4 linked regions of the Saccharomyces cerevisiae S288C genome follow. The protein of the gene in region 2 interacts with the protein of the main gene of each other region in a biochemical or structural test. Each region holds a gene or a part of one and is shown on either strand. Other genes may lie near its edges. The genes, in order: TOR1, SCH9, MAF1 and CST6.

What was found.
Region 1: of the proteins of SCH9 (region 2) and TOR1, one has a biochemical effect on the other in vitro, tested with the Saccharomyces cerevisiae proteins (6 studies listed by BioGRID).
Region 3: of the proteins of SCH9 (region 2) and MAF1, one has a biochemical effect on the other in vitro, tested with the Saccharomyces cerevisiae proteins (5 studies listed by BioGRID).
Region 4: the proteins of SCH9 (region 2) and CST6 form a complex in vitro, tested with the Saccharomyces cerevisiae proteins (one study listed by BioGRID).

The regions. Positions count from the first base shown.
Region 1 is NC_001142.9:555,450-566,747, reverse strand, and holds the start of TOR1 (phosphatidylinositol kinase-related protein kinase TOR1), read right to left. Parts: upstream 7,333-11,298; coding exon 1-7,332. Other genes in the region: ARP3 (actin-related protein 3), read left to right, coding at 7,590-8,939; chaperonin-containing T-complex subunit CCT5, read right to left, coding at 9,146-10,834; DNA-directed RNA polymerase I core subunit RPA12, read right to left, coding at 11,176-11,298.
Region 2 is NC_001140.6:505,534-513,669, reverse strand, and holds SCH9 (serine/threonine protein kinase SCH9), read right to left. Parts: upstream 4,308-8,136; coding exon 1,833-4,307; downstream 1-1,832. Other genes in the region: kinase-regulated stress-responsive transcription factor SKN7, read right to left, coding at 1-938; alpha-1,2-mannosidase MNL1, read right to left, coding at 4,961-7,351. UniProt on the Saccharomyces cerevisiae protein: Protein kinase that is part of growth control pathway which is at least partially redundant with the cAMP pathway. Regulates both BCY1 phosphorylation and MPK1 activity.
Region 3 is NC_001136.10:455,065-462,127, reverse strand, and holds MAF1 (RNA polymerase III-inhibiting protein MAF1), read left to right. Parts: upstream 1-4,024; coding exon 4,025-4,030; intron 4,031-4,110; coding exon 4,111-5,292; downstream 5,293-7,063. Other genes in the region: phosphoribosylanthranilate isomerase TRP1, read right to left, coding at 1-286; SOK1 (Sok1p), read left to right, coding at 881-3,586; putative DNA-dependent ATPase RAD57, read right to left, coding at 5,545-6,927. UniProt on the Saccharomyces cerevisiae protein: Mediator of diverse signals that repress RNA polymerase III transcription. Inhibits the de novo assembly of TFIIIB onto DNA.
Region 4 is NC_001141.2:282,987-287,929, reverse strand, and holds CST6 (Cst6p), read right to left. Parts: upstream 2,265-4,943; coding exon 501-2,264; downstream 1-500. Other genes in the region: casein kinase 2 catalytic subunit CKA1, read left to right, coding at 1-140; pheromone-regulated protein PRM2, read left to right, coding at 2,931-4,901. UniProt on the Saccharomyces cerevisiae protein: Transcriptional activator of promoters containing ATF/CREB sites. Can independently stimulate transcription through ATF/CREB sites. Important for a variety of biological functions including growth on non-optimal carbon sources.

The sequences.
Region 1 (11,298 bases), on a different chromosome or scaffold from region 2:
CTCAGGGACGTCTAATTCATTGAACCTCTTGATATCATTGCCCGTTAATTTATCTGTAATACGTCTCAAAACAAGCATTGCTCTGGCGTTTTTGGTCTCATTTTGTTGTTCTGCTTCCATATTTGCCGCTTCTTCGACAGTAATTGCCCCCTTCCTTAATAATTCACTAGGATTAATCAACGGCAAAGGAATTCCAGTTTGCTCAGTAAGTTTTTGTGGCGGTAAATCAAATCCCCAATGGATCAAAGGATCAAGCGCAAAAGCTTCCAAGATCGCCATTAATGATTCTTTATTATCTCTTAAGACTCTCATGACATTTTCACAAGTAATTCGGAAACTGCCTTCAATTCCACTAACTTCCATTGCGTATGTTAACATCCTAGTTAGTCTAAATGGCACTTTTTCTGGATACTTTTCTCTTAAGATGGCAGCTTCAAAACAATCGCCGAAATCAATGTGGATAACTTTACCGGTGATTCTATCTAGCATCAGGTTGCTTGGATGGCGATCACCTAGTCCCAGAATATAACCAGTCATGGACATAACTGCTAAAGATCTCGTATAAGTTGTTCTACGTTCTAGCCATGTCTCTGACGACCTACTCTTTAACCATAATATTTTATAAAGGTCTTGGCCTTTTGTATTATCTAAAGCGTACGTGAATACTTCAATTTTTTGTAAAAGAGTCAAATTCTCATAATCGGGGGCCATTTGTAACATAACCCAATGTTCAATGTTCAACGGAATTTTTTTGGCATCACGGTGTTCTCTGATCAAAACGTGGAATGTGTCACTATTTGGTACCCATCCTAGTAAACCAGATTTAGGCGACAATGGAATAGCCGGGTATTGTTGGATATCCAAATGTCTCTTGAAACACTCTGAATCATTCTTCAACAAAGTGTTAACTAGACCAAATAATTGCATAACAAGGCTATCTTGTCTTATATCTTCATGTCCCTTTAAAACGTATTTATAATCTTTACCGTCGCTACCCTTGATGGAGAATTTTCTTGGCCTTTGCTTCGAAGAGATCACAGAAAATAATGGCTCAAACTTCGCTATTCTAATGGTAGGTTTTCCTGGGAAATATGTCCCAGGAACAGCCAATTCGAGATCATGAGTAGCCAGAAGCTGGGGAGAAACATGCTGTAAGTCTAAGGTTTGTAACTGTGGTATTTGACGTGTTATTTTTCTGAAGACGTTATAATAAATATCCCAAGCTTGGTTCAAATTATTGATGTCTTTTGACTTTTTGTAGTTATTCAACCATTCGTAGGCATCGTTCAAATCTCTACCAAATGATTTCTGAAACGATACCTCACTTAACGTTTGAGGCTCATTGCCTAAGTGTTTATGTAAAGGTTCTAAAGTAGAAAACATTTTTTCTATGTTATGTTCAACGAAAAATTGGCGGCTCGCATCTTCCAGTCCTTCATACCATAATTCGTGCCATAGAACGGCTACTCTGATCAACTCGTGACTAACTAATTCTGCCTGGTTTACCAGGACTGGACTATGAATCCTAATTTTCTCTATTATTGAAAGAGCCGCTTTTTGTCTTGAAACAGATTCAGACTTGATCGCGACAGTTAAAGGATACACGAGAGCTTGTGGATGAGCTTTCCCTAAATCAGAAAGCAACGACAAAAGGGAATTACTCACCGTAGGATCTGGCTGATGTATACGAGAGATCAACTGTGGTAAGACTTCAAGCCAGTTCTCTATTTTCATCAAATTGAAGCCTTCATACATGGCTTGTGAGACTTCTTTAATACCACCAAAGTTAAATAAAAGAGTCAATAACCTCAACGTGTCTTGCAAACAACTTGTTTCTAATAGAGATATTGAATGAAAAAAGCCCTTGATCGCTGGAACAACATGTCTTTGAATAAGCTCTAGCGGGTATCTGTTGCCATTAATAGTCAAAGAACCACTTCCTAGGATACTACCGTCAATCCGCACATTATCATTATTAACTGCCGTGTCATCATCATCATCATTCTTACCTCCGTTGAGCTTAGTCTCTTCCTGAACCATGGATATTACTTCAAAATTAGCTAAGGCCCAATTATGCCATGCCTTGTACCAATTTTTATCGAAATGTGTAGCCAATAGATAAGAACCAAGAATTGCATCCGGATTTGTGTTTCTCCAGTTCGGTTGTGTTGCTATTCTCCACTCACCTTGCTTTAAAAAACATCGAGCTAATAATTTTGTGTATTCCTCAACATACGGAGCAGTACTTGCACTTGAGAGTTTGACACTTTGCGCGATCATATTATTCGGATCCAAACCAAGATCATGCGCTAACCTGGATGTAAATCCTATCAAGTGGTTTAATGCTTCTTTATAAGCTCCTGTAGCCCAAATATATTTTAGTTGCGCGTAAACAACTGGGGGAGGAGCTTTGAACGTATTTGGTAAACTAGGATCGTTGCCTCCTTCTAGTAGCATATTCAATGCCTTATTTGCTAGCCTCATTCTACCAGATTTTCTGCACAAATTTGCAAATTTTATCCATATTTGCAGGTCTTGCTTGGGCTTTATTACCAATGATCTTACTCTAAGCACTCTTTGCCATAAATCGACATTTTTTTGGCAGCCCAGCAGTCTTTTTGTCCAAAGATTTTGATAGTGAAGTTTTTTCTCGGAATTAGGTGGCAATTGTTTATACTTGATGATTTCCTCAAACTCTGTTATTATTTGAGTTCTAACAATAACGCTATATGCTCTATTATAACTTTCATTGATCAACGCGGAAATTTCAGTCACAAGCAAATCTCTGGCGTTTAATATATGCTTACTAGCATTGTCGTAATCATTCTTGTGCAAGTATAAAATTGCATCAAAAAATTCCTTATCTGGAGATTTAGGTTTCATAACGCTGATATATTGCTCAAGCATATCCCACTCTCCCAACCCCCACGCAGCACCAGCTGCCAAGGGAGCTATTAGCTTCTTAGTTTGTAGCTTCGAAACTTTCCACTTTCTAGCTGCCAATTGCGACAACTGTTCCCATTCGCCAAGGGCATGAAGGGATCTCATCTTACCGAGTGTAACGCTCACGGAAGTATCACCTGCCTTTTCACGTTCATTATAAGCATGTAGTGCATCTTCCCAACGCTCTAATTTTTCAAACCATGTCTCCTTTAATTGAAGTGAATGATGTTGTTGGGCATGCTTTAATATACCAATTGCAGCATCCGTTTGATTCAGCTGGTTGTTAATGCTGATCAATGATTCAATAGTTGAGTTCTCAGGCTCTTTAATAAATTTAATCTCTTTATAATGTAGCGCTTTGGCATAGGCGTGACATCTTTCAGCATACTCGCCCAGGCTTTGAGTTGGTATTGGTAATGCCTTGTCATCGTGTTCCATAAATTCTACCAGGTTTAACAATGTTTGATGTATTTCTGGTGGATTTAAGGGAGAAGATAAGGCTATACATAATGACCCAATTAAATCTTCTTGATATTGGCTATAAAGTTCGGTCCAAACACATGCGAATGCGGTATTAAAAAGTTCTTTGGCTAGTGGATAATACATGCTTGCAAGATTTGAACAAGCTCTTAGAGCATGGGAGGGTGACTCTTTTAATAATTGAATGGATAGACGTTTGCTCCATTCCTGCCAATCTTCTTTAGTTCTTTGTTGGCTAGAATTCCATGCACTTTTCAAAACTGATTGGTTTATAGGTAATTTTGCGACCCCAGCATCTGCTGCCTCCATTTGTTCCGCGGGCTTATAATCCGTTGTATTTGCTTCAAGAATTTTTGTGGGTAAAACATCATTGTTTAATATTCTGTTTGTCAAGTCATCATATATTGTGTGTTGAATATGTTTCTTCATTAAAACTTCATTAATGACAGGGATGAAGATAGCAAAGGATGTGCCCATTTGTATTAGCAGTAGACTTAAAGTATTCATAATGACTTTTGAGAGTTCGTCACTCGTTGTTGAACTTAGTACCCTAAGTAAAGAGTGAACAATTCTTGAGGACATCTCAAAAAGGTCAACATCCTTGGCCAGTTTGCCAATAGTAATTATTGCAGACCTTTGTAGGTTCCCGCTGGTGAATTCTGCCATTTGAACTATCTTGGGTGTAATCAAATGCGAATAACCTTCTAAGTTAGGACCAAACGATTCTAACAGTCTCAATACCCTTCTGGAGAGGACCTTGTCACTAGACTTGTCATTCTCCAAAATTACAAGGAACAAGGTCAGAGTAAGAGGGACCAATCTTTTGAATTCACCCTCCAGAGCCTTTGATATTGCTTCAATAACACTTACAAGCGTTATTTGTAGCTTAGCAACCGAAGAAAAATCTTTGATAGCCTGGAATATAGAATCGACATGAGGTCTTATGTGTTGCCTTACGATAATAATCAAAGAGCAAAGCTGTTGGAAGTAAAATTCTAATAGTGACTGAGAGCATGTACGCATTACGTCCAAAATAGTTGGGATGATCTGGTCCAAGAATGAAACACATTTTAGACCAAGGGTTTGAAAAATATGCATAATCGCTTGGATCACGGCAGTGTGGTAAGATGATAGGGATGGATCTTTTAGGATTTTTAGCAGGCAGTGAATGACAACAGTGGTATAATACTCATCATTCGAAGGAGACATGCCCTGCATGAGAAGAGCAATGTCGATAGGCGGGGCGTTCTGTTCTGTAGATATATCGGTAGTAGAGGTAACCTCACGTTCTTTTTGGCGATATGGGTCGATAGCTCCCAGTATACCTATCAAAGTGACTGTTTGTCTCCTAATATTTTGAGAGTTTTCTGTCTTCAATATATTCACCAATATACCCAATAATTCGGGATAGTCGAGTAAAGGATCTATCACGTAACCAGATGAGGCTGCAAGTTGACCAAGGGCCTTAAGTGCAGCTTCTCTCTTGAAAGAGTTTGATTGATCCTGAAATGTTTTGATAATTAAAGGAAACAAATCCTTAAGATATATCTTCATATCTTCGCCCCCTACAACAGATAGCTCACCTATAGTTCTCAGTGCAGTTGATGCAACCGTTGAAGAGGTATCTTGGAATTTTGGTAAAAGAACATTTAAAAGAGGTTCGATATAAGGTTTCGCAACATCTTTACTCGACCTGATAAGAGTACATAACAAACTGGCAGTTTCTTCCTTTTCTCGAGAAGAAGTTGAGAATTTTAATTTTGTTAGCAGTTCCAGTAGTATTTTTCTTATCGATGGGATGACGTATGCAGGGTTTACGGAAGACAACCTACCGACAAGCTCCATTGCTACTGACTGAATATTGAACGACTCATCGTGCAGTGCAGTAAACAAGAGTCTCAAATTATCTGGTTGTGCCAACTGGGGATCGAAACATGGATTAAGATTCTTTAAAACTTCTAAACGGATATCTTGTAAAGGGTCCGCAATCGTAATGGCTAGAAGCTTTGATAACACTTCAGATACAGTGTTCAGAGAGTGTAGTGATGTTTGTTTGCAGATGTTATCCTTGACGTAAATTTCACAAGATGTCAACGCAGCTAGTTTCCTTACTCTGGGATCTGTATGCTCAATGTAAGAAAGTGCAACAATTCTCACGAATTCCACCAACGAAAATCTGCTTTTGATATTTTTTAACATTCTAAAAGCTTGTATAATGATTTTTATATCATTATTATCATCGTTACTTTCACCAGTTTTCTGTAGGATGTTTTTATTTCTCCATTCTCTTGCTCTTTCTCTCGAAAACGATGGTATCTCCATTGGTGACCCTGGCTGGATAAATGGTGTTCCAGATAAGGTTGAACAGACTAGGTTAAGCAACTCGTCATTTATTTTGGGGCCTAGTGATGGTATTCTCTCAGTCAGAATTTGAAACGTTTCCTGCATATAGTCGGAAAGAGGGCATTTGAACATCAGGTCCAGTATATTTCTGTTTAATAATTTACCTAGAACGGGGCCCAAGGGAACTGCCAATCTTCCGATGCAGTAGAAAATTTCATTTTCAAATTTCTTTCTGAATTTGAATTTCGTCTGTAAATCATGTTCAATATAATCAAGAATTTGTTTCACATAAGGTGCGATATCGGGCCCGACTTCATATGCAATATCACCAATCGATATTAAAATCTGTGGTTTGTCATCTTTGAGATGTGGTATTTTATTTGCTGGAGCATTGGTTAAAATCTCTAAATAGTTGTCCATAATTTGGTGCAAATATTTGCCAGCAAATAATTGAGGATTGAACGATGCTAATAGGGGAACAATCTGGTAAATCTTTTCTCTAATCATTTTCGCTTTATGATTTTCATAAGCTATGCAATTTAGACACATTTGGTCGAACACTTGATTCAAAAAGGGATCCTTCAAAAACAAGATTTCCTTATAAACCAACAAACTTGCATGGATGCATTCTAATGTGTTTACTTGAAATCCGTATTCACAACTTGTAGCCAATCTCTGCACCCACTGGCTAGTTAACTGAGGATCCCTATTTCGTAGGGTGGAAAGACATTTGGCCAATGTAATGGACGCATCAATTCTGATCACCAAATGTGGGTCTCTTAGTGCTCTCCAAATGTTATCTAGTATGGAATTCAAGTATTGGTAGAGTAAATAAGGACAATTCTCTGCCAACGCTGTTATAATCAGAAGCGCAGCATGTTTAGCATGGTCTGGCTTCGAACTCGAGAATGAATTCTTTTCCGTGGAGGCAGTAAGCCATTCTAAGCAAGACTTTATCTCAAATTCCACGAAATCAGAGGTATATGTACCTCCTGGAACGGCTAACTTGCCCAGAGTCTTTGCAGCGAGTCTCATGACCTCTACATCATTAGAAGGTATTAGCCCTCGAAGGTAACCAGCCAGTCGTGAAGTTTCGTTAGGCAACCTTTCAGTATATGCGTAGAATGAAATCAAAGTGTCTATGGATAGAACAGCCCCTACCCTAGTGCTCGTTTTTTTTGTATGGACCAGCTCCAAAATCTTATTGTTTATGTCATTTGAAACTGCTTGGAACTCTTCTATCGACAATTCATGTTCCAAGGATACTAGTAGATCAAATAATGAAATACTGGCCAATTTTCGTTCCTCCTTGTAATCACTGGTTAATTCGCGGAAAATTTTCTCCAAAATGGGCTTAAAATTTACATCCCCATTACTGCCAATCACCACTCCATCAAACCTACTAGAAGTCAGACCGAATTCATCCCCGTTCCTGCTCGCATTCATTTTCATGTTCATATTCACATTCAGATTCGGTGCCAACGGCACATTTCTATCCATGTCCATATCGTTGTTAGCCGCTTTCAAAAGTTTACTCTTCCAAATCTGCTCCTCATGCGGTTCCATATCAATGCAAACCTGCTAGCCGGTTGATGTATGTTTCACTTTACCAATGACTCTCTCGTGAAGCTACTATGGCTCTTTTTTAACGTAAGCTCAAGAAGACCCTTCGATAAGGACTTTCAGTAGTCACCCGGCTGTCCGCGGCTTCAAAATGGCGAGAACCCCTTTTCAAAAGTTTCAAACAAAAATATATGAGAGTAGTTTAATCAAGAATTGGCCCTACCGTAAGGCCTCACGATTGAGCAAGAAATTAGGATTCAATGTCATACTTAAACAATCCCGCTGTTGTCATGGACAATGGTACCGGGCTGACCAAGCTCGGTTTCGCCGGTAATGATTCTCCCTCCTGGGTCTTCCCTACTGCAATAGCCACAGCTGCACCTTCAAATACAAAGAAGTCCTCGGGCGTTGGTGCGCCCTCAGCAGTTAGTAATGAAGCATCATACTTTGGAAATTCCACCTCTGCAACCAATTTCAATGGTGCAACAGGTGGTTTGCTGTCTAATAATTTATCCGGTAAAAGAGGTACAGAAGATTTGGATTTCTATATTGGAAATGAGGCTTTAGTAGCATCCCAAGGACCCTCTTACTCTTTGAGCTATCCAATCAGACACGGTCAAGTGGAAAATTGGGATCACATGGAAAGATTCTGGGAAAATTCCATCTTCAAGTATTTAAGAACAGAGCCTGAAGATCATTTTTTCCTATTGACCGAACCACCACTGAATCCTCCAGAAAACAGAGAGCAAGTGGCGGAGATTTTTTTTGAATCATTTAATTGTGCTGGTCTATATATTGCTGTGCAAGCAGTTTTGGCTCTGGCTGCGTCATGGACCTCTTCAAAAGTCACGGATAGATCATTAACTGGTACTGTTATAGATTCTGGTGATGGTGTCACCCACGTCATCCCAGTGGCGGAAGGTTACGTCATTGGCTCAGCAATTAAAAACATTCCAATAGCCGGTAGAGACATCACATTGTTCATCCAATCCTTGCTAAGAGAACGTGGTGAAGCAGACACTTCCTTGAGAACTGCCGAAAAGATTAAGCAAGAATACTGTTACGTCTGTCCAGATATTGTAAAGGAGTTTAACAAATTCGATAAAGATCCTTCTAAATTTGCCCAATTTGTGGTGGAAAACCAAGAAAAGACAAGGAGAAAAGTCGTAGATATTGGTTACGAAAGATTCTTAGCACCTGAAATCTTCTTCAATCCAGAAATTGCATCCTCAGACTTCTTGACTCCTTTACCCACGGTAGTGGATCAAACTATCCAGGCTTGCCCTATTGACGTCCGTAAAGGTTTATACAACAATATTGTACTATCAGGTGGGTCTACCATGTTCAAAGATTTTGGACGTCGTTTACAAAGAGATCTAAAGTCTATCGTAAATAACAGAATCGCACAAAGTGAGCTGTTAAGTGGAACTAAATCGACTGGTGTAGATGTTTCCGTGATTTCTCATCGGAAGCAGAGAAACGCTGTCTGGTTTGGTGGCTCGCTGCTGGCACAAACAGCCGAATTCAAAGGCTACTGTCACACTAAGAAAGATTATGAGGAATATGGTCCGGAAATTGTTAGAAATTTCAGCCTTTTCAACATGGTTTGATTATTGAGTCATGACTCATCTTATAAGGAAAAAGGTACAAAAACAAATGCAAATAACTGAAACGCCCCTCACTTCATTTAAATATACGTATACAACTGATTATATACACGTATATGTACAATCAAGTAACCCCAAATGCTGATCTGAGAAAAAAAATTGTGGGATATGTGATTAAAACTTATCTTTTATTATTTATTTATACAAAATCAATACTCATCTTTACCACTAATGATGACGTTATCAATCTTTAAAATCATTCTACATAATTGAGTAGCTAAAAGAATTTGCTGCTTTTTGCCAATAAATGGATCAACGACAAATAGTTCCTTCATGTCATTAGACCCGTAACCTAAGCAATCGACACCAATGTTGGAAATCTTTTCTTTCAGTTGTTTACTTTTCAATGTAGACAAAGTTCCGATTGGATCAAGACCAGAATTTTCAGCCAAAGTCATTGGAATGGTGTCTAACGCTTGGGCGAATCCACGGAATGCATACTGATCAATACCACGTTGCTTATCAGCTTCCTCAGAGACAGCCAGGGACATAGTCACTTCGGCTGCTCCCCCACCGTAAACTACACGTGAGTCTTTAACCAAGTTACGTACCACACATAGTGAGTCATGCAATGCACGTTCAGCTTCATCCACGATCATTTTATTGGAACCGCGAACAAAACATGTTACAGTTTTTGTTTCTTTACTTTGCTCGATAATCAGCATACGATCCTTAGTAGTACCAAACTCCTGCTCGTAAATTCTGGAACATGTACCTAATTTATCCTTAGACAAGTCTTGAAATCTTGGAACAATGCGACCGTTTGTGGAAATGGCAATGTGTTCTAGTTCTTGGCCACCTACCCATCTTACGGCAGGTAAATCATTCTGTAGAAGTAGATGATTGGCCTCATCGTCAAACCCCCATTGGCATATAACAACATCTGCGCCCGCTTTCTTCACATCGTCTATCATTTCTTTGAACTTATCTTGTTCATAAGTCTGTAATTTTTGGTATTCTTCTACTGAAGAAATGTCTAATTTATGCTTGGTCTTTGGTTTAGGAGGTTCAAATGGACACGTTAATATAGCTAACTTAACACCATCAGAGCCCTCTTTTGGTAAAACACATTTAGGCATTTGTGGATGAGAAAAATCTTTATCCAAAATGACACCATTAATCAATTTTGAATCGCTTATAGATCCGCCAACCCGTCCTTGCATTTTGATTAAATCGAAATCCACGTCTTTACGATCTTTGTCCATGACATTTATGACGGCTTCCACAGCCATTTCAGCAAATCTATCATGATCCTTGGAAACAATTTTGGAGCCCAAAGAAGTTTTGGCGGCCCTCAATAAAAAGTCCCTGAACAATTCATCGTTTGACGCAGAAATGTCGTCACATGTTTCTTCTAACTTGGAAATGGCTAATTTGGCGGCTTCATCAAATCCATTAGCGATTTTGATTGGATGTATACCCTTTTGAATTAACTCCAATGCTTGGTCAAGTAGCGCACTTGCCAGAACAACAACACCAGTAGTACCATCACCAATTTCATCATCTTGAGATTTGGAAAGTTGTACTAACAACTTTGCAATCTCATTATCTAGCTCCATTTGGGACAAAATTGTAGCACCATCGTTAGTGATGGTGATTTCACCGTCAGGTGAAATCAAGATCTTATCTAACCCACGGGGACCCAACGAAGTTTTGATAATAGAAGCTACTGATCTAGCAGCCAATATATGTGATTTCTTGGCCTCTAATCCGTGCTGTCTCTTCTTGTTACCTTGATCCTTCACGATAATAAAGGGTCTACCCATCTCGTCTTGTGCCACAATGGCGTTCGACAGATCCGGCATTTCCATAGGAGGTTGTTGTGGACGAGCAGCCATTTTCAAATATTGCTATAAAAATGGATGATAGCTGTTATTACTTTGAGTTTGTAGCTCTTTATCACGCACACCTCATTTGCCACATCCACCAAGACACTATTATATTTCTAGTTGTTCCTTAACAAAATTTTTCATTCAATGGCATAAATCACTTTACACGTTCTCGAGAACAGTAGATGCGATGAGTATGATAAATAGTAAGAATAATATGATAATGTACGCTATTATATCGTCAGTACATAGATTTTTTGTTTTTATAAATGATGTTCTATAGATGTTCACATGATGAAAGCGGGGATGATATTAATGTACAAATTGTAATATGTGCGAACACAACCCAATCAATTGTTGGTACGGAACTTGTAACCACAGGAAGTGCATGTATAGAAGACAGTAGCACCTTCATCTGCAGATCTTAACTGTAAAGTATGATAGTTCATCTCTTCATTTCCACACTGAGGACA
Region 2 (8,136 bases):
AATATTGGCACTTCAATACCATTATTTGCCAAAGTGGAACACAGAGTGTTGAAGTTGTTGAGTAAATTTTCATTTATGGTCTTGAATGTTATCAAACTTTCGATAACCGTATTGTATTTCGAGTTCAACTTTTGTAGTTCTACTTTAGTAGCATAACTCTCCATTTTGGACATATCCAACTCCTTTTGTAGTTTGTCTACTCGCCTTCTTAGATTTCCAAATGCATCTTTACTTACGGTATTGCTTAACAACAGCTCTGTGGTGGATTCATTCAAAAGAGACCCAGAAGGATTGTTGGGGTTAGTGCCTTCACTATTGAAATGCAAAAGAGCCTTTTGAGATTCATCCAAAAGCACTTTCCTTTGCGCCGGAATTTTCCTTTTGATGTTATCGAGACCTTTTCCGTAATGGACTCTAAATTCTGGATGCTGAAACTCCCAACTTTGTTCGCCATATTTACATCTCTGTCTTTCCTCGGGACTTCTCTTAACCTTGTGAAAGTCATACTTGTTTAGTTGCCTTACAAAAGATGCAAAATTTGAATGTTTGAAGTGATTAGGCAATATATGCGTAGTGAACTTTCCTGTGTCCAAAACGACGAAACTTTTGCCGTTCTCAGTCCAAGTTACAATGTCAGGATATTCATTGTTTTCCAGTATCCTGAACAGTTTTCTTACGAACTCATTTGCTGGAGCCTTTGCTCCCGCATTAGCACTGCTGATATTTGTGTTTCCAGCTGGTTGTTGAACGTTATTAGTCTTGTTGTTAATGTGCAGCATGTCAGAAGAGTTGTTTGGCTGCATCGTGTTCATCAGTCGAGGCCCGCTCTGCAACAAGTCCATTCCTAAAAGGTCTGCAGTCGAACTGTTCTCGGTGGTGTTATTATTGCTATCGCCGGTGGTTTTATTGACGTTGCTATTTATGGTGGAAAAGCTCATAGTGGATATCAAAAGTAAGCAACGAAAAAATAGGAATAAGAATAATGGAAACAAAGAGAGGATAAAAAAACTTCTATAACAGTCCTTTAATAATACAGCAATTTCGTTGCTTTTTTGTTGGTCTTGGAAAAAACAGAATGTCCTCTAATGAGCGAGTTAAATATATGACCCAAACAAAAGCAGCAAGCCTAGGTAAGATGTTGGAAGATAGTAAGGTGACCAGGGATATCTGTGTAATGTTAGTAAAACTTTGACAAATGTTTCAGATCCTGGAAGCACTTTCAATCTTGTCACATTCGATGGGATGACAGTTAAGCTCAGTAAAGCTGACCACATTTTGCTCATAGTTAAAGAAAGAAAAAATTCAGAATTTCGGAAAATCCATGTACGCGCATCGATGAGCCCTGCCCTCACTTATGGCATCCCTATTATAGCAAAACCCTGCTTATACTTGTGTTAGCCCTACTTTTAATCGACTTTAAACCTATGCATTTAAGAAAAACTTTTTTTTTTTTTTTTTCGGATGATATAACCGACCTATAATTTCCGAACCGACTTTGGGAAATCACAGCGAAGCGTTTACTTAAGCCCTGATTATATATAGATGAGGGGTAAATATGTCAAAGTACAATGGAATGGTGAGGTATAAGCAGTGATTATGAGACGTGATAAACTAGAAATTTGCAGGAACAATTATTCATTTTTTGGAGTTTAAATAAAACGAAAATACATACATACTTTACATATATAAATAGAAGAAATGTTTCGATAAAGTGGGAAAAACGATTAGAAGATACAAATTAATAATAGAAGTAGAAATAAAAGATAGAAAAATTAGAAAAAAATAAAAAGAAAAGGAAAAGAAGAGGAAGGGCAAGAGGAGCGATTGAGAAATCATATTTCGAATCTTCCACTGACAAATTCGTCATCCATGTGTTGGTCGCCGTCGAAGTCCATCTGCGAATGGCTGTTGTTCATATTTTTCTCTTGGTTGAATCCATCATTGATGTCCTCGTCCCCGTCATCATCGATGACATCTTCGTCTGGAGGTAAGTTTGGATTTCCCGGGATAAAGGAACCAGGTTCCATAAAGTACGAGTTTTGTAGGAATTTTCTGTTGTTATTAACGTGTTCATCGATGGCGGACTCATCAACAAAGGTGAAACCAGCAAACTTTGCTTGCATGGCTGGAGATAGCGGGGTAGCAGTCATCATCGGCTGGTGCTTGTTCATGTATGAAGTTGAAGCTGTTGTGAACTCTGGGTCAAAATTCGAGGTATCCGTCTCCGAGACTAGGTGAGGTTTGAAAGGTGGTGGAATTTTTTTCTGCTTCAAGGCCTCCCAGTCGATATCTGCGAAAAATGGATGAGCTCGTAGTTCTCTTCCATCATCAATGGCACCGAGTCTATGTTTGGGGTTTCTGTTTAGTAAACCCTTTACAAAAGACCTCCCCTCTTGTGACAGTACGTCTCTGGGGAATTTGACTTTACCAAAGGCAATTTTTTGGTACATTTTTTGATTATTTTCCGCAAAGAAAGGGGACCAACCACAACACATTTCAAATATCAAAACACCTAGAGACCAGAAATCGACCATTTTGGTGTAGCCGGTTTCGTCCAGTAACAATTCTGGTGCCAGGTATTCCGTGGTGCCGCAAAATGTGTTTGTTCTATCCTTCAAGTCAGCTTTAGAAAGACCAAAATCGCAAAGAGCGATGTTACCGTTGGCATCGAGTAGAATGTTTTCAGGCTTTAGGTCCCTGTAAACGATATCGTTATCGTGTAAATGTTCTAACGCTAGGACTAACTCAGCGATATAGAATTTCGCTCTGTCTTCCGAAAAACGGCCCTCCTTTTGTAAATGCCAGAATAATTCTCCACCACTCATATAATCAGTGACCAAATACAGATCTGTTGGTGTTTGAAAGGAAAACTTCAATCCGACAATGAATGGGGACGATTTGGACGCTGTCGTGACTAGGATATTTCTTTCGCCAATTGTGTGGGCGATCTCATTTTTCTTGACAATAACTTTCTTGGAGAGAACTTTCATTGCATAAATTCTTTGAGTGTCTTTCTTCTTAACTTGGTAGACTTGGCCAAAAGTACCCTTACCCAATAATCGAAGAACTTCAAAATCTTGTGGGCCATAATGTCTTTTCTTTGTCTGTTTGTAAGTCCATTTGATTAAAATATCACCGGACACAACTTCATCAATAACGCGAGGTTTCAAACTGTGCCATTGGTGTTGGGAAGCATGTGCTAAATTATGAATCATTGGATACAGTCTAACTTGGCCTAAGAACATATGGTCGTGGGCAGCATCATAAACAGAAATATCTAATTCCGAGTGAGATCCCAAAACATCAAACGTTGTCTTGTGATGCCATATTGGATGTGAACTATCATTCTTTGGACCATTTGAAGAACCCGACGAAGAATTAGAAGAACGTTTGCTCGGATCGGTTACTGAAGAGCAAGAGTTTAGCTGATCTAATTGGGAAGATGATCTGTGTGTATAAAGGGGTTTTTTCTTCAAGTGCTCTTTTATCGATGGTAACTGAGAACCGTTCCAACCACTGTTATTATTATGATGCTGGCTAGCAGCGTCAGGGTTGGTATTTTCGTTGTTGTTGTTAATATGCTGGTTTTGATTATGCTGATTATTGTTGTTGTTATTGTTGTTATTATTAATGGCGCCTAGTGACTCAGGACCATTAGAAATGAACTCTGAACTCTCAAAAGTACAAACAACATAAGGCTGTGAATCCTTTGATCTAGTGACTAGGTCACGTGCTTCTATTATTGTAACTTCTAGTTTACCCCTAGGAATATCGGTATCTGGACCATAAGCAGCTGCTGCTGCTTCTCGTTGATTTATTGATAGCGAAGAAGTGGAAGAGAGTAAGCATTTGGTGGTAGAACTGGAAGAAAAGTTGTCATCTTCAGAATTTTGCAAAGAATTGCCACCGGTATCGCCATGTACATTTCCAGCATTAGTTTCTTCCTGTGACGTGGTAATAATCGTAGGGGTGTTGCTGTTGTTATTATTAACTGATGATATTCCATTATTCATTGACTTCATTTGAAAAAGGGCATTTTCTGATGTTATTCCTGTTGTGCCCATTGCATATAAGTCCTGACTAATAGCGGTGGTCGGCGTTGCAGTTTGTAAAGTAAAATTCGTAAAAAGGGCACCATTATTTGATGAAGCGCAGGGCCCACTGGACACCAGTTTACATGGGTATCCGTTGTCGTTGCCAGCGGTGCTGCTATTATTGTTTCCATTGTTCTGTCCATTTGGATGTTGGTGTTGAGAGCTAAATCCAGTATCCTGATTCGACGATTTTGATGTAAAAAAATTCATCATATTGTATATTCGTATCTTTATTTCTTGCTTATACGAGTATAATTCTCAGACTTATTCTTCTTATAAACAGTTGCCAAAAGAGTAAATTTTTGACTGTACCTTATTAAATAGATGCCCTTAGGTGATTATGTGAGAGTGGGTAAAATTTTCGATAAAAAGCGAAGAGGGGCAAATTAGGAAAAAGGACCACGAAAAGGGTATATAAAGTAGAAGAGAGCTGGAAAAAGAATAAGCAGGCGGGAACTGGCGCAAAGTTGTTTGTAACTATTTTCAGTGCTGTTGCAAAGAACCTTGAAGGAAAGAAAAGAATAAAACAAAAAAGAGAATATAAGCGACCAGCGAAATGGATGAGCTGAGCACAACAATCTATGTTATATTGGACCCGTAATGTGAATAAGTAAGCCTTTAAGGATCGGAATATGCAGAAAGAACCGTTATCGTAAATGACCGATCCACCCTTTAAGCAACAAACGAAACCGATGAGAAACAGATAACAAACAAATAAGCTTTTGATTAAGTTTACACTTTGAGAACATTTTTTTTTTTTTTTTTTTTTTTTTTTGGCCGGTTTTACCGAGGGTAACGAAATCGTTCATCATTTATTACTGGTGCCATTATGTAAAAGCTGTAGAGGTCTATCTAAAAGAGTGATTTCATACAATAAATAAGTTGATGATGGGCGTGCATTCTAACATGAGTTGGGAATGGTCATTAATCCCGATGCCATCCATTTTGAATTCGTCTTCCTCTCTTGTGCCATTGGAAGTGAGCACAGGACTATGTTTCTTGATTTGTACACTTCCATGGCGAGGCAATATGCGTCCGTTGATGGCTACTACTCTGTAAAGATAAGTGGGAGAATACAAGCTTGCCACTGCATCGCATGCATTCGAGAAAATATCCTTGCGGGAGACGTCTTGGAATGTCGATGCAGTGATTAAGTCTCCATAGTAATCAATTTGGTAGATTTGCAATTTTTCGATCTTCAACCTTGACCTACCTCCAAAGGTTTCAAATGTAATAGTTTTGTTTTCTAACATTAATGGATTCAACTGATGATATCCAGGAAGGTCGAATAGTAGTTCGAAAATTTCGGTGGTGGGTGGGATCAGGCACGTGCTAAATTGCGGATTGGACCACCTGTTATAAAATCCAGGTTCTAGTTCAATTGCATTATAGTTATGCATGTGTGAAGGTTTAATTAGCGTGGCAGCGAACCGGGAGTCAATCTCGAATAATCTGTCAAAATTGCTCAACATTGGAGAATACCAAAATTCGTCACCAATTACATGATGAGGCTTTATAGAGCATGTACCGGGAAGTTCAGTATCAATGGTATAGTCTATAATTGGATCAGTAGCCTCTTCGTCTGGTGGACCTTTATGAAAGATCGATTTGGCGAACCCCACAATTCTTTGGCTCAATGTGTTCTCTCCAGCTTGTTCCCTGTCCTTTTTCTGGCAAATTTCCAAGTGCGACGAGTAGACAGAGTTGTTAAATTTAGCGTTACGTTTATAGTTGGACCTCACTTCTTGGGGCAACCACATTGGATGGGCTTCTGTACTGAAAATTACGTCACTAGCGCTGTTATGTAATTCGTTCTCTTCATCAAATAATAAATACAGGTATTTCAAAGTTTCACTCAACACAAATGTTTCCATTCTATCTTGCAGTTCGCCCGTGATTACATTTTGGAAACCTGCAAATCCGCAGTTAGACTTAAATCGTTGCTTGAGGTCTTTTAGCAGATGTACCCCAATATTTAAGTAAAACGGGTCTTTTGTAGCTCTATATAAGAAATAGGTTGACTCAAAAAATTCCGGTCTTAATGGGTACCATTCTAAGGGGAGGATATTATCCAAAGCAACAGCTCCCGATCGCTCTAATGGAGATAGTGGGGGAAACTCCGGAGGACTAAAGTTCCACCTTTCAGGAATACCGCCAAAGGTGTTCCACATTTTTAAAAACATTAAATGGTTCGCTATGGCATCATCCAAATCACCAGCAAGCACCTGTAAACCGGAGAAAAAAGCACTCAAAGAATCAATCCAGGGAACAAACAAATGCCCTGTGTCAGCCATTACATTAGCAAAAAACCAATCGTTTTTACAGTTAGTCTTTAATGCCTCGTATGCTACGTTCCAAACTTCCATTAATTCTGAATCATCAAATAAAATAGCACCTTTCAAAGCGTATTCGAAAAGGGAGTCGATGGAGGCGCCGATTCCAGTCATGGGCGTATATGGTGTTAGTTTTTCGGGGTGAAAGGACATGGGTAGCAAATCCAAACCAGTTCTAAGAGACCATGTTTTATCAAATGCGTATCTGGTAACTTTCTCATACTTGGGATCGCCTGTCAAGTAAGATAAAATAGTGAATTCGAACATGGGAGACGCCATAGCGGCCACATTATTCTCTGTCTCCAAAAATTCTGGAAATTCAGAGACATCCCATTTTCGTTTGATGTTTCTCCGTGGCATAGGTAATCCGGTAGACGTTAAATATGCAGGTAAGAGCCTATCTGCCATATTCTGGGCGAGACGTAACAGTGAGCCATCATAATCGTCCCCTAAATACACTGCCTTTGTGGGATCCGTAGCATAAAGATGTGATGATAGTAGTGATCCGATAACACGTATAGTAATTTCAAAAACTTGTATTGTGGAATCAATATCGAAATTGCCATCAGGAAATGTCCTTTCAACAAGTCGAACAGCTTTCAAAAACTGCGGCCGGTCTTCCAGTATAGCAATAGTGGTTAAAGAATCTATTAAAGTGATTGTAAAATTGCCCAATATATCGTTGGTGCCTTGATCAGTAGGATCTTCAAAGTTTCTCTTCTTAGGAACGCATGAAATGGGTTTTACCTCATCATATGGATACCCATGCTCTAAATAATTGTCGAAGCCGAAATAAAACAGCTCCTTCACTTCCTGCTTGTAAGCCTTAAGTTCTTTAGAAGTGAATGAGTACGCATCGTCTTCGCATGCTACATGATCGAGATGAAGCAACAATGCTAGAAGCACCCATAAGCAGCAAACCATTCTATTTCCCTGAATGTAACCAATCCATGGAAATATGAAATTATCATGGTTACTCTTGACCCATTAATACATATTCAAAAACGCGTCCTTCTTTATTGCTTATTATTAATAGTCGCTGAAACACGCCAGAAATAAATCGTTACCCGTCGTTAAAGCACAACGGAAACCTATCAGTCTATACCAAATGTACTAATAGTGTAACCATGGTGAGATAGAGTCGCCAGTGAAACTAACATTGAGCAGTGCTTGCTTTTCAGCCTGTTTTATGGTTATTCTCTTTAAACAATTATTTTCGAGACAATTATGCATCCATACATTTCACCCAGACATTTTGTGTGCGCGTTATTGCGCTTTTTGCAGGGCGCATCTCCTTTTTTTCTATTTTTTCAGGCTAGTCAGTGTCACACAGCGTTTTTCCGTCAAGGAGATTATCCTACCGCGTAATTTTCTATTGTTCCTGGGCTGGTCTTTCTAGCATTCCTCGCTGGCGCTTCACTAATCCAGCGTAGAATCCAGCTTCGCTCTTGCTTCGTCACCTGCCCCGAATGGTGAGGAAAGTTCCTCTTGGTCTTGGGATTTGCCAAACTAAGTGGTTGTGTGGAGGATCCATGTGGTTTCGTTAGCGCAATGGCATCGTATCTTCCTTCTCTAGGATTTGGAGCTGCTTCAAGTCGCTTTGTTTTATTATCGGTAGAGTTAATAGTAGTGATATTGTAAGATTTAGAATAGTTTCTTTTTCATATAACGTCGACTAAGTATAACAATAGATACACCACTATTGAGGA
Region 3 (7,063 bases), on a different chromosome or scaffold from region 2:
TATCAATGCCGTAATCATTGACCAGAGCCAAAACATCCTCCTTAGGTTGATTACGAAACACGCCAACCAAGTATTTCGGAGTGCCTGAACTATTTTTATATGCTTTTACAAGACTTGAAATTTTCCTTGCAATAACCGGGTCAATTGTTCTCTTTCTATTGGGCACACATATAATACCCAGCAAGTCAGCATCGGAATCTAGAGCACATTCTGCGGCCTCTGTGCTCTGCAAGCCGCAAACTTTCACCAATGGACCAGAACTACCTGTGAAATTAATAACAGACATACTCCAAGCTGCCTTTGTGTGCTTAATCACGTATACTCACGTGCTCAATAGTCACCAATGCCCTCCCTCTTGGCCCTCTCCTTTTCTTTTTTCGACCGAATTCTTAATCGGCAAAAAAAGAAAAGCTCCGGATCAAGATTGTACGTAAGGTGACAAGCTATTTTTCAATAAAGAATATCTTCCACTACTGCCATCTGGCGTCATAACTGCAAAGTACACATATATTACGATGCTGTTCTATTAAATGCTTCCTATATTATATATATAGTAATGTCGTTAACCGTTGATTTTTACTGATTGGTCTCTGCCGTGCGGGTGAGCGGCGCGTCCAGACGGGCGGGTGCACGTTTCTTTTTCTGACCATTTCCCTGTCAGCTCTTTTAGATCGGGGCTGCCGTTTGAAAAGTTTTATCATCGCCAGACATGCCATAAGGAATATCTCCACCGCCTCTAACTGTCCCTAACTCGGTCTCTTTCTTATAACTACCATTACTCAGTGTTGAGAGATTGGTAGAAATATACGCGTATACGTTCATTCAAGACTTATTTTCAGCCAGTAATATTCCCTACTCCTCTTCCGTTTTCAGAATAGAGATGGACCAGCCAAGGACCCATTCAGGACCCACGACGGCCAGCAATCCTGCCCCCAGCTCCACCAACTCGTCATCTGCTCCCAGCGCGACTAATTCAAAGCAGGAAAGATCCTCTTCGTCACTGTCCAAACCTTCGTCAGTGGTTCCTTCAAAGGATTCACCAGATGGTGACGCTATTGCTAAGACTCAAGCAGCCGCTTTAAAAAACGACATGAAATCTGGTGATACCAGTACATTAGATGGGTCATCTCAAAATATAATTCCAAACAGAGCCTCAATGCAAAAATATATTGACCAGTCATCAGATCTGCTGTCGAGGAGCTCCGGCGTAATAACGCCCTCCATGTCTTTGAATGCAAGCACTAACGCCACTAACAACGATAGCAGTGGCAATTCAGCTAATAGTAGTGATTTGAAGATCCCTATAGACAGGGACAATACTATATTCAAGACGTTCGACACCAAGACTGGTCAATTCTTGAAAAACGATGATAATGAAGAAGAAATAAGGAGGAACAATAAAGTTGATTCGATACCCCCAAAGAATATTTATACTAATATCAACAATCCATCTCCCTCCCCACCACCGTCGTCAAAGCAACCACCGTCTGCATCCGCGCCGCAATTGCCACCAGCAACGGAACCACACAAAGAACAAGCAGCACAACAACAGCCACCAGGAAATGCTTCTAACTTTTTAAGGATCTTTTCAAATAAAAAAATGAGGTCGCATTCCGTACCCACTATTTTGCATTCTTCTTTAAGAAAATTATCATCCCACAATCAATACTATCGTAATCAAAATATTCTTTTAAATCATCCAACTCCTTCCGGCATATCAAAGAAAAAATTTTCTAGAAACCATCATCAACCATATTTGCATTCTAATAATCCTCTCAGTTCAAACCCTCTTTCATTAAAGCGCGCAATTTTTTTAAATCAACAAATATCAGGTAACGCAAGCACTAACGCTAATAATGACAACATTAATAATTCCACTGCCACTTCAATGACAAATCAAAGCTTCCTATCAAGCTCAAACTTTGACTTAACTTTGGAAGATAGAATAAACTACATAAAGGCTACTCCAACGCCTGTTCCATTTCCTCCTATAAATTTGCAGGGCTTAAAAGAGATTGACTTACAGGAAATTCTGAAAAACCCACAACTAAGACATGATATAATATTCGACCCGCTACTACAATTCAGGCCAAATCTTGATGGCGAAAGAGGGAATAAAAAAAGACAATTGGCGAATATCTATTGGAATGATGTTCAAAATGAAATTTATGTTTACTCTAAGAGGCCTGAAATATTCCAATATAACAGGTCAAGACTAGTCCCACTTTTTGACACTTTAAGGGATGTATTGTTAACGATAGTCCCACAAAAAGAGTCTCCGATGATAAATAATGTACTGGACACAGAATTGAACATTCAAGAACTATTGAAAGGTTCTCTGATAATGTCTAACTTGTCAGGCTGGTTGGCTGATTTATTTAAACATCATTGTGCCCCCATGAGGGACCCATGGGTGGATAAAATGAGCAACAAATTTAAAGAAGCTGAAAGAGACTCTTCTTTAACAAGGTTAATAGAAGGTTTAAGGTTGGTTTTTCAAATTTTGGAAACAATGAAATTGGATATTGCCAATCATCAAATAAGAATACTAAGGCCAGCTCTGTTAAGTAATGCTGTAGAATTTGAGAAACAGTATTTCAACACTCTTATAGCCTCTAAAAGGGTGAATTTAAATACTTCCCTACTTTGGTTTGATAAAAAATTCAACGAAAATGTTACCGCTGGCCTTGTTAGAAATCCAAGTTCTATCACTATCCCTGATGTCTACAATATTTGCATTAGAAGTATAATTAACCTATTGTCATGTAGGAAGATGGTGAGAGAGTACCCAACTCCGCTTTCTTTTGATCATGCAAGATTGATCCTTTTGCGTGCCGATATACGTCAAATTGTTTGTATTTTAGTTTGCCGTTTACTTTTCCAACAATTGGTGGCCAACGATCCTTCAATGGATAAAGCTACAAAGGAATATGTTATTCATACATACTCAACTAAAAGGCTGAAGAATGAAATTATCAGCATTATAACAGATGAACACGGCAATTGTAGGTGGACTAAAAACACAATGTCTATTGCTGTTCATCTTTGCAAAGTTATTGACGATCTTCACAGGGAGTACGACAACAATGGTAGTTGTGAACAAGCCAGAAGGCCTCAATTGCCTTCATTAGACAACTCAAAAATAACCTTTGCTAAATCTTGGTTATCTAAGCAAACTCAACCCCTCAGTGAAGTTTATGGTGTCCTAGAAAATAGAGTATTCAAATCACTAGAGGACGCTATCTTCAACAGGTCCGAGTGCACAATTGATGGACGCGTTAAACAAGACTTTGTGTACCTCTACAACACAAACAATGGCAACGTAGGTAGCACTAACACTTTGAGTACTACTACAGATACTGCTAGCGTTAAAATCAGCCCGTCTTTGATGTCTCCTTCTAAAACCTCCACCACCACACCTACTGGCAATGCGATTGCATCCAGAGGTTTATTCGCAGCAACAGAGCTGGAGGAATTCGAGAATGTTTATCGCCACTTATATGCATTAATCAACCTTCATTGGTCCGTATTCGGTCCTCATTATATCGAAATGTTAGGAGATAAAGTTAATAAAAAAGGAATATAACTATTATCGGTAATGGAGGAAAAAAAAATTTTTTTACCATTTCTTTATGTAACTTCATATATCATTTTTAAAGCGTACATTTCTTATAATTTCACTTCTTAAATGCAGTCACATATTTACTGCTATCAGACAAAGTAAAGCGTCGCTAATTACTTGCCTCCACGAGTTGCTTGTCAATCAGGGGCGCTTCATCTCGCCAGCGAAAGCGCGTTGTCCATCTTATTTAACAAGAGAAAAAAAAGATAATTCAACTTAAAAAGAACGTGCTATCAGCTATATAAAATGTAGACACATTATGTATCAGTGTTTCTTTAGCAATGCGAAAAATATAGGCTTAGTGTCATTTACTTAAAGTTTAGAAACTCTGCACACTTCACCAAGAACAAGTTTAACCGCTCATTACTCCAAACGGATTTTTTTGCCTAAAGAATCACGACAATGAAAGTATGTTATCACTCTAAAACTGCCATGCTCTTTATTCGAAATTACTAACATTGTACCTGAACCCTCCTTTTCTTCCTTAGTTTATTGATGAGCTAGATATAGAGAGAGTGAATCAAACTCTCAATTTCGAGACAAATGACTGTAAAATCGTGGGCAGTTGCGATATTTTCACAACAAAGGCGGTTGCATCAGATAGAAAATTATATAAAACTATTGATCAGCATTTGGATACTATTTTACAGGAAAATGAGAATTACAATGCTACCCTTCAGCAACAGCTAGCTGCTCCCGAAACAAACCAATCACCCTGCTCGTCGCCATTTTATTCTAATAGGAGGGATAGCAACTCTTTTTGGGAGCAAAAGAGAAGAATATCTTTTAGTGAATACAATAGCAATAATAACACTAACAACAGTAATGGCAATAGCAGTAATAACAATAACTATTCTGGACCTAATGGTTCTTCTCCAGCAACTTTTCCCAAAAGTGCCAAGCTAAATGACCAAAATTTAAAAGAATTAGTCTCGAATTACGATTCTGGCTCTATGAGCTCATCGTCTCTTGATTCTTCTTCTAAGAATGATGAGAGGATAAGAAGAAGGAGCAGTAGCAGTATTAGCAGTTTCAAAAGTGGTAAATCATCGAACAATAATTACAGTTCTGGTACAGCAACCAACAATGTTAACAAAAGAAGAAAATCTTCGATAAACGAAAGGCCAAGCAATTTAAGTTTGGGTCCGTTTGGTCCCATAAACGAACCGTCAAGCCGCAAAATATTTGCTTATCTGATTGCTATCCTCAACGCTTCTTATCCTGACCATGATTTTTCATCGGTTGAGCCAACGGATTTTGTCAAAACATCATTGAAAACTTTTATTTCCAAATTTGAAAACACCTTATATTCTCTTGGTAGACAACCAGAGGAATGGGTCTGGGAGGTAATTAATTCTCACATGACTCTTTCTGATTGCGTCCTTTTTCAATATTCACCTTCAAACTCTTTTTTGGAAGATGAGCCTGGCTATCTTTGGAATCTTATAGGTTTTCTTTACAACAGGAAAAGGAAAAGAGTGGCTTACCTTTACTTGATTTGCTCGCGTCTAAATTCGAGTACAGGCGAAGTGGAAGATGCCTTGGCAAAAAAACCTCAGGGAAAGCTTATAATAGATGATGGCTCAAATGAATACGAAGGAGAATACGATTTCACTTATGATGAGAATGTAATAGATGATAAATCAGATCAAGAAGAATCCCTACAGTAGTTTTAAACTTTAATTTGTGAATTTTCCTTGTCTTACACCTATAATCGTTAAAAACAGTCCCTTTATGTCTACTATTGTAAGTTTCTATTTTTAAAAAAATACCCTTTTCAACTATGTACCTTTATGACAATATTATATTTACTAATTGAACACTTTAGCGAGGATTGAATAATGTGCGCTACTATATAAAAAGACTGCCTTCATCATATATTACTGCAAAGCTCTTAGTTTCTTTCGAATACGGAACTTCAATCAGGCTGTTTCTATTCCTCGCTTAGTAATTTGATATGCAATTTGACCAGGCTTAGCGAATGTGGAATATACCACTTTCATTGTCCTCTTAACTTGCCAGAAGCTTGCCGAATCACCTCCCTTATAAAGATGAGCTTCACCTCTTTGAATTATTGTTGAAGCCTTGAAAGATTTTTGAAGTAATATTCGTGTTGAAACGTGATTGGACCAAGTCAAACCGAGATTGGGGACACGATAGTCAAATTTCCGTTTCTTACTTTGTCGACTGATAGGACTTGATGAATTTCGCTCAACGGTTTTATTCTCAATTATGGGTGGTTTCTTTTTTGAAAAAAAATCATAATTCCGGTCATTTACAGTGCTCATAACTCTCTCGATTAGCATATAATCTTCATCGTCTGATAGAATTTCATCGTTATTGGAACTTGCTCCAAGCAGCGAATTCATCTGCCGATAAAGAATGGTTGAGTTCTTCCAGCCAACTAGCCACCCTAGCTGATAATCATAATCAGTTACATATGTCCTATGTGCCACTGGACTGTTAGCCAGTGGTTTATCCCCAACTTGATTAGCCACCACAACGGATAATGAATAATCGTGGGCCAGTATTTGGAGCTTCTCTGCCATCCTATCCAGATAGTTTTTATTTTCTTGGGATTCTCTGAAGGACTTGTTCTGAAGCTCCACCCTCAAATGATGAGAAATCGAATCTATTATCACCAATTTTATTGAACCCTTAGATCTCTCTAATAAAATAGGCAACTGAACATTGATTATGTGTTCCTGATTTATTAGGTCGTTACAGCTGACGGTGAAAATATTTGATTGTGTAATACCTAGTTTTTCATAAGCCGGCCTAGACGATAGCATACTTTCCAATCTCTGAGTTGGTAAATCGCCCTCAGTGGTAATATATACACATTTGCCGCCAAGCCCTCCCGCAGGTTCGGAAAGTTGGACACTTAACGCCAACTGCATAAGTAATTGAGATTTACCAGTAGAGCTCTCTCCGAATATTTCTGTAATGCCATGCGTGAATATGCCTCCACCTAATAATTCATCCATAGCTACATCAGCAGTCGTGAAACACTCAGGACCGTTATCTGGGCTGATAGAGTTTTTTTCACAGATTTCTAAGTACTTTTCATTATATTCATGAACAAGCAATTGCTGAAATCTGAAAACCTCATTTATCGACCTTTGTATTAGCCTTGCCAATTCCTTCGGAGTGAGTGTTAAAAAATCTACGACGCAGACACCATTTTGCCTTACTGCATCCAAAAGATATGAAAATTCTTCATCATAAAGGAGTTTACTTTCCGGTAATTCATCGTAAAGGTCCATATACGTATTGTCAAATTTTATTGATAAGGCCCTAGGCATGAATTTACACACTTTGAAAAATGGTGAATTCCCAGTGGTTGTTCATCATTTTCATTTTTTGAATTCAACGCGAAAAAGCCGAAGATTAACCGGCATCTGAATTCTCATGTTACTTAGAGGATAATGTGTGAGAAGA
Region 4 (4,943 bases), on a different chromosome or scaffold from region 2:
ATAAACATTTAAGCGGCAACGATGAAATTATTGACCTTATTGACAATCTTTTGAGATATGATCATCAAGAAAGATTAACTGCTAAGGAAGCGATGGGACACCCGTGGTTTGCCCCAATAAGGGAACAAATTGAAAAATAAGAAATAAATAATGAATGAAATAAAAAAAAAAAAATCACTGACAAACGATATAACGATTACTTTTTTTTACCATCTGTACAATTGTACTTAATTCTAATAGATTTAAAAAACTAAATACAGGTTTAAAGGGCTTCCTCCATACAACAGAGGCAAGGAGGACTAAGGGGTTGACACGAGCAAATTTCATACATGCAAAATAATAATGTCTTAAAGGTAATTTATACCATAAATGTAGTAACTAAACGAAATAATAACGGCAGAAAAGAAAGGATGCAGCTCGAGTATTTATACACGTATATTACATATATAGTTGTCCTTATCATTCTTGAATGAAACACCGTTGTGCTCACCAAAACTTTGTTATTTTATCTTTTCAGAATTGGGTAATGATTGGTTGTCTGGATCCTTACCACCTTCTACGGGCTTGAGATCTATATCGTCATCGTCAGTATCGCTTCCGAAACGTTGAGAGTATGGCTCGTGCTTGATGGCTATGATCTTACCAGTATCTTTATCCACTTCTGTAACGTCTGAATCGATCATTAAAAGTTCTTCAATGATCTTTAATGAATCCACAGTCATGCTTTCATTTTTGTTGCTACTATTAGTGCCATTAACATTATTATCTGAGTCTTTATTTAGTTTTTCATGTTCACGTAAATGAATTTTGGAGAATTTCTTGAATTTAGAGATTAGTTTTTCATAGTAATTTAACTTTTTCAGTAAAATTCTATTCTCGTCTTTAATTTCGTTAAATTCCTTTTGGAGCTGCAGCTGCGCAACCTTTTTCCTTTGTCTACATTTCGAAGCTGCAATTCGATTTCTTTCTAACAATCTTGCTCTCTTCCATGCCGTAGTACCAGGGATTGGATTTCCCTGTGTGTTCGCCGCTAAATTTAAATGAGATCCTTGAGATTTTGGAGTGAAGCTAGGATTAGAGTGAGATTCCCTAAGTGCAGATTTGCCCCTATTTTCACCTCCAGTAGTTGGCGCAAACGTCGTCATGCCTTCCAAATCACTTATACTCTCCGCTGGAGTATTCTTTGATGGCGCGTTTACAAAATTTCGCTGCTGACTTTTCGAGTAAATAACGCTCTGATCACCCAATGCGGAGTCCTTCGTGGGATTAATAACTTTTTTTGCATTGTATTGTGGAATACTACTAACCGGCACTGCTTGGTTGAAGACCGGCTTGTTTGATACATTCCTAGTTTGGCTCAGACCATTATAATTGTGAAAATTGGGCATCGGGGGCGGCTGTGTGTTGTGCAGGTTTTCCAAAGTTTCAATATCTTCGCCTAGCTGGCTTATTTGACCGTTAGAGATTGATATTCTTCTTCTTCTAATTGGCTCATCGCATCCAGGCAAAGAACTTTGGAAAATTGGTGGATTCGTCATAGGTAAATGTGCTACATCAACACCAAAAGGTTGAAAAAATGGCGACAATGTTTCCAGGATGGATGGATCGTTCAAGGCATGTGGGTTGTTATTCATATTCATGTTCATGAAATACATCTGCTTGTTCACAGAAGCCGTATTGGCGATGTTGGACGCATTAGTCGGGGCTGTAGTAGAATCATTCGGAGCGGACTTACGGGTAGACGACAGTTGGCTCAGATTTGTATGAGTGGCCAGATTCTGATGCATATCCTGTACGACACCAGAATTCATCAGAATATCACCGTAGAGTTGGGATTCCTCTTCAGTTTTCATAGAGGGTGACTGTTGTCGCTGATCCTGCTGTTGCTGTTGTCGAAGGTATGCAGCCTGCTGATAGTTTGAATTGGCGCTGGGTTTAACAACCCGATCATGCGAATTGACGTTTCCAGCTGCAATAGAATATTGTGGGGTTAAAGAATTTCTATTGGAAGTAGTATAATCATGTATTTGGTCAACCACACCAGCCATATTTGTGCTATAGTTTATGTCAGTAGGATCTAAGGATCTACTTAAAGCAGAATTGTTCATAGTAGAAGTGGTGGTGGCGGCGGCAGAAGTATCACTAACAGAGTGCGGTATCTTATTATTCAAGATCTTTGATGTGTCATCAATACCACGTTTATTGTTGTCTTTTTGCTTGTTGGAATTAGAGTCTACGGAATGATACTCCTGACCAGTAAACATTATCCTACCAAAAAGGTGTGGGCTTATACTTTTTTCTTTACTACTTTAGATCTTTTTAGATCCTTTTGAATCTTCCAATTGAAAGACTGCTTTAAAAGCGAGTTTTTGATTTAGAAACACCAACAGATACGTATACACGATAACCTCTATAGCGGTTCTATTTCTGTTAACAAGAAGGTACTTGAAAGTGATAACTCAAAAAACAAGAGTACAATATGAAAATCTTTTGCCTTCATTGTCATTGTCATTGAATCCCCGATTATCATTGTCAGCAATTTCGGAGAAGGGGGCAACTATGTTCCGTGTAAGGTGATATTACTCAAATGTGTCACAATTTCAACTTCTGGGAATAATATTTATAATAGTTGAGATTATTCTTGATTATAGAGGCGACAGCTTATCTTAATTTTCGCCAATAGGTTTGGAAGAACATTGGTATTTTCATTCGGTGCAGCATTTTAATTCAGAATTATAACCGTCCTTGTACGGTTATAACAGCACATTATTGAAAAATGTTTTAAAAATGTTTCAGCCCAGTAATAAAACATTTACATATGCTATCTTGGCCCTTTATATAACATGTAAAGCAAAAAACTAGAACACTAACATGGCTTAAGTAGCTGAAAATCTACACCACTTTTCGATAAAACTAAGAGTACGGCAAAGATGAACAATGTACACATAATTAAACCTTTATCACTTCCACAGAGGTTTTTTAGTTGTATTTTCCATCCTCTATTACTGATATTCTTTACTTCTGTTATTTTAACTATTTGGGGTTCCTTTTCAGTCATTGACATTACAATGGCAAAAATGTCTCACGCACAGGTCAAACGAAATGATACCGTCTCAACCTTTGCATCTATTTCAACTGCTACAGCGACAGCCACAACAACGGCCACAACAACGGCCACAATGACAGCAGTCACAACACAGCATGCCATATATTCTGCCAACAGTTACTCTTTAAATAAAACATTCATTGATAATACAATTGATCAGTATTTCGAAAGCAAACTACGGAGTATTGAATCTACGGTAGGTACGGATATGCAAGAAAAATTCAAGTCATACACAGACGACATACTGGATAATAAACAAAAACTTATCAACGACCAAATAAGTTTGGAAACTGAATTGATTAAGGAAGTTCTTGAGGTAAACAATACAATTTTTAACGAACTACTCACTAAATCACAGCTGATAAATGACACATGGAATGAAATATCAGAAGACGCAATGACCATTGATAAGGATTCCATTTCACAAATGGCATCAAACCTACTGTTAAATTACTCCATGTTTGACAGTATTTTTGGGAACTACTCAAGGAAATTGAAATCATTGCAGAACTTCAATGGCACTATCACTGACTTTTCTACTCAATTAGATACCTCTAGTACCTTAAGTTTGAATTTTCTACGAAATTCCACTGACTGGCTTCAGTTGAAAAGGAACTTTACTGCAAACTTACAGAATGAAATTTCCATTTTATCTGGGGGGAGTACCGAGGTTACATCGTCTACTTCAATAATTAAACGGTCTCTGAAAACAAATAGCGAGGAAAACAGTGTACTAAGTGCAGTAAAAAATCACGTTTTCCGTAAATGTAAGAGAATGACAATAATTTTCACAGTCATGTACTTTGCATTTGTGATTTTGCTCATGGCAATCGAAAGAATTCTGTTTCAGCTGGAAAATCAGCAAGTAAACCTGGTTATGTCCCAAATTAATGGCCTGACAGGACAAACCAATTTTACTAAATACAACAAAGTTTTGAAAAGCTTAATTACTACTCTGAATCTCAGTACACTTTATCCAATTCCCTACCAATTAACAAAGCTTATCAATCAAAAAATATTTAAAAGAGAACCAGAAAAAATCGATGACAAAAAAGTCAAAAAATCAAAACTATTTTACTGTAACTGGTGGATAATCTCAAATGGGGCTCACCTGTGGCTGTTTGGTTTTTTGATGTTATTAATTCATTGGCAGATAGTGACGCGATTAACAAACTTTGAAGTACCCAGTTTGCCTACATTCCACAAAAGAGCGGGACCTTCGCTATACAAAAGGGAAGTTTGGACAGATGGAAATATAACAACTACGATAGAGGGTTTCATTAATGACAGCGTATCATTATTGTGTGAAAATTTCCAAATGGAAGTGAATGAAAAGTTCATTACAGCAAATTTAAGCCTTCAAACTGACCCCAATTTGAAAGTGCAATCAACGGACATCCTAAATCTTTGGGTTAACGACACAAACACTCAGTTTGAAAAATATCTTAATGAGAGTTCTCAAAATTGGCAGGGGATAGACCTGCAGGTTGAGCCTCTGTTAGGCAGCGATTCAATTAATGAGTTCCTGGGTCAGTATTTCCTACCGACATACGAAGTTACGAATACAAATTCTTCATTTGCACTGGACATTCAAAAATATGGTATAATTAATCGAGGAATTAATATAACCAACGCATCGGTAGCGGCATTGTCTTCACTGTCAAAACGCCAAATAAAGGATAAGGAGCAAAAACAAACGTACTTTTTACACACTGTTTATAAGTGGGGACTTTTAGCAGTTTGCCTGACTATATTGTTCCACCACATGCTTATATTTATAATATTAAAGTTGTAAGTATCGTATTATCGTCACCTTCCACGAGCGGTCTCGCAATTT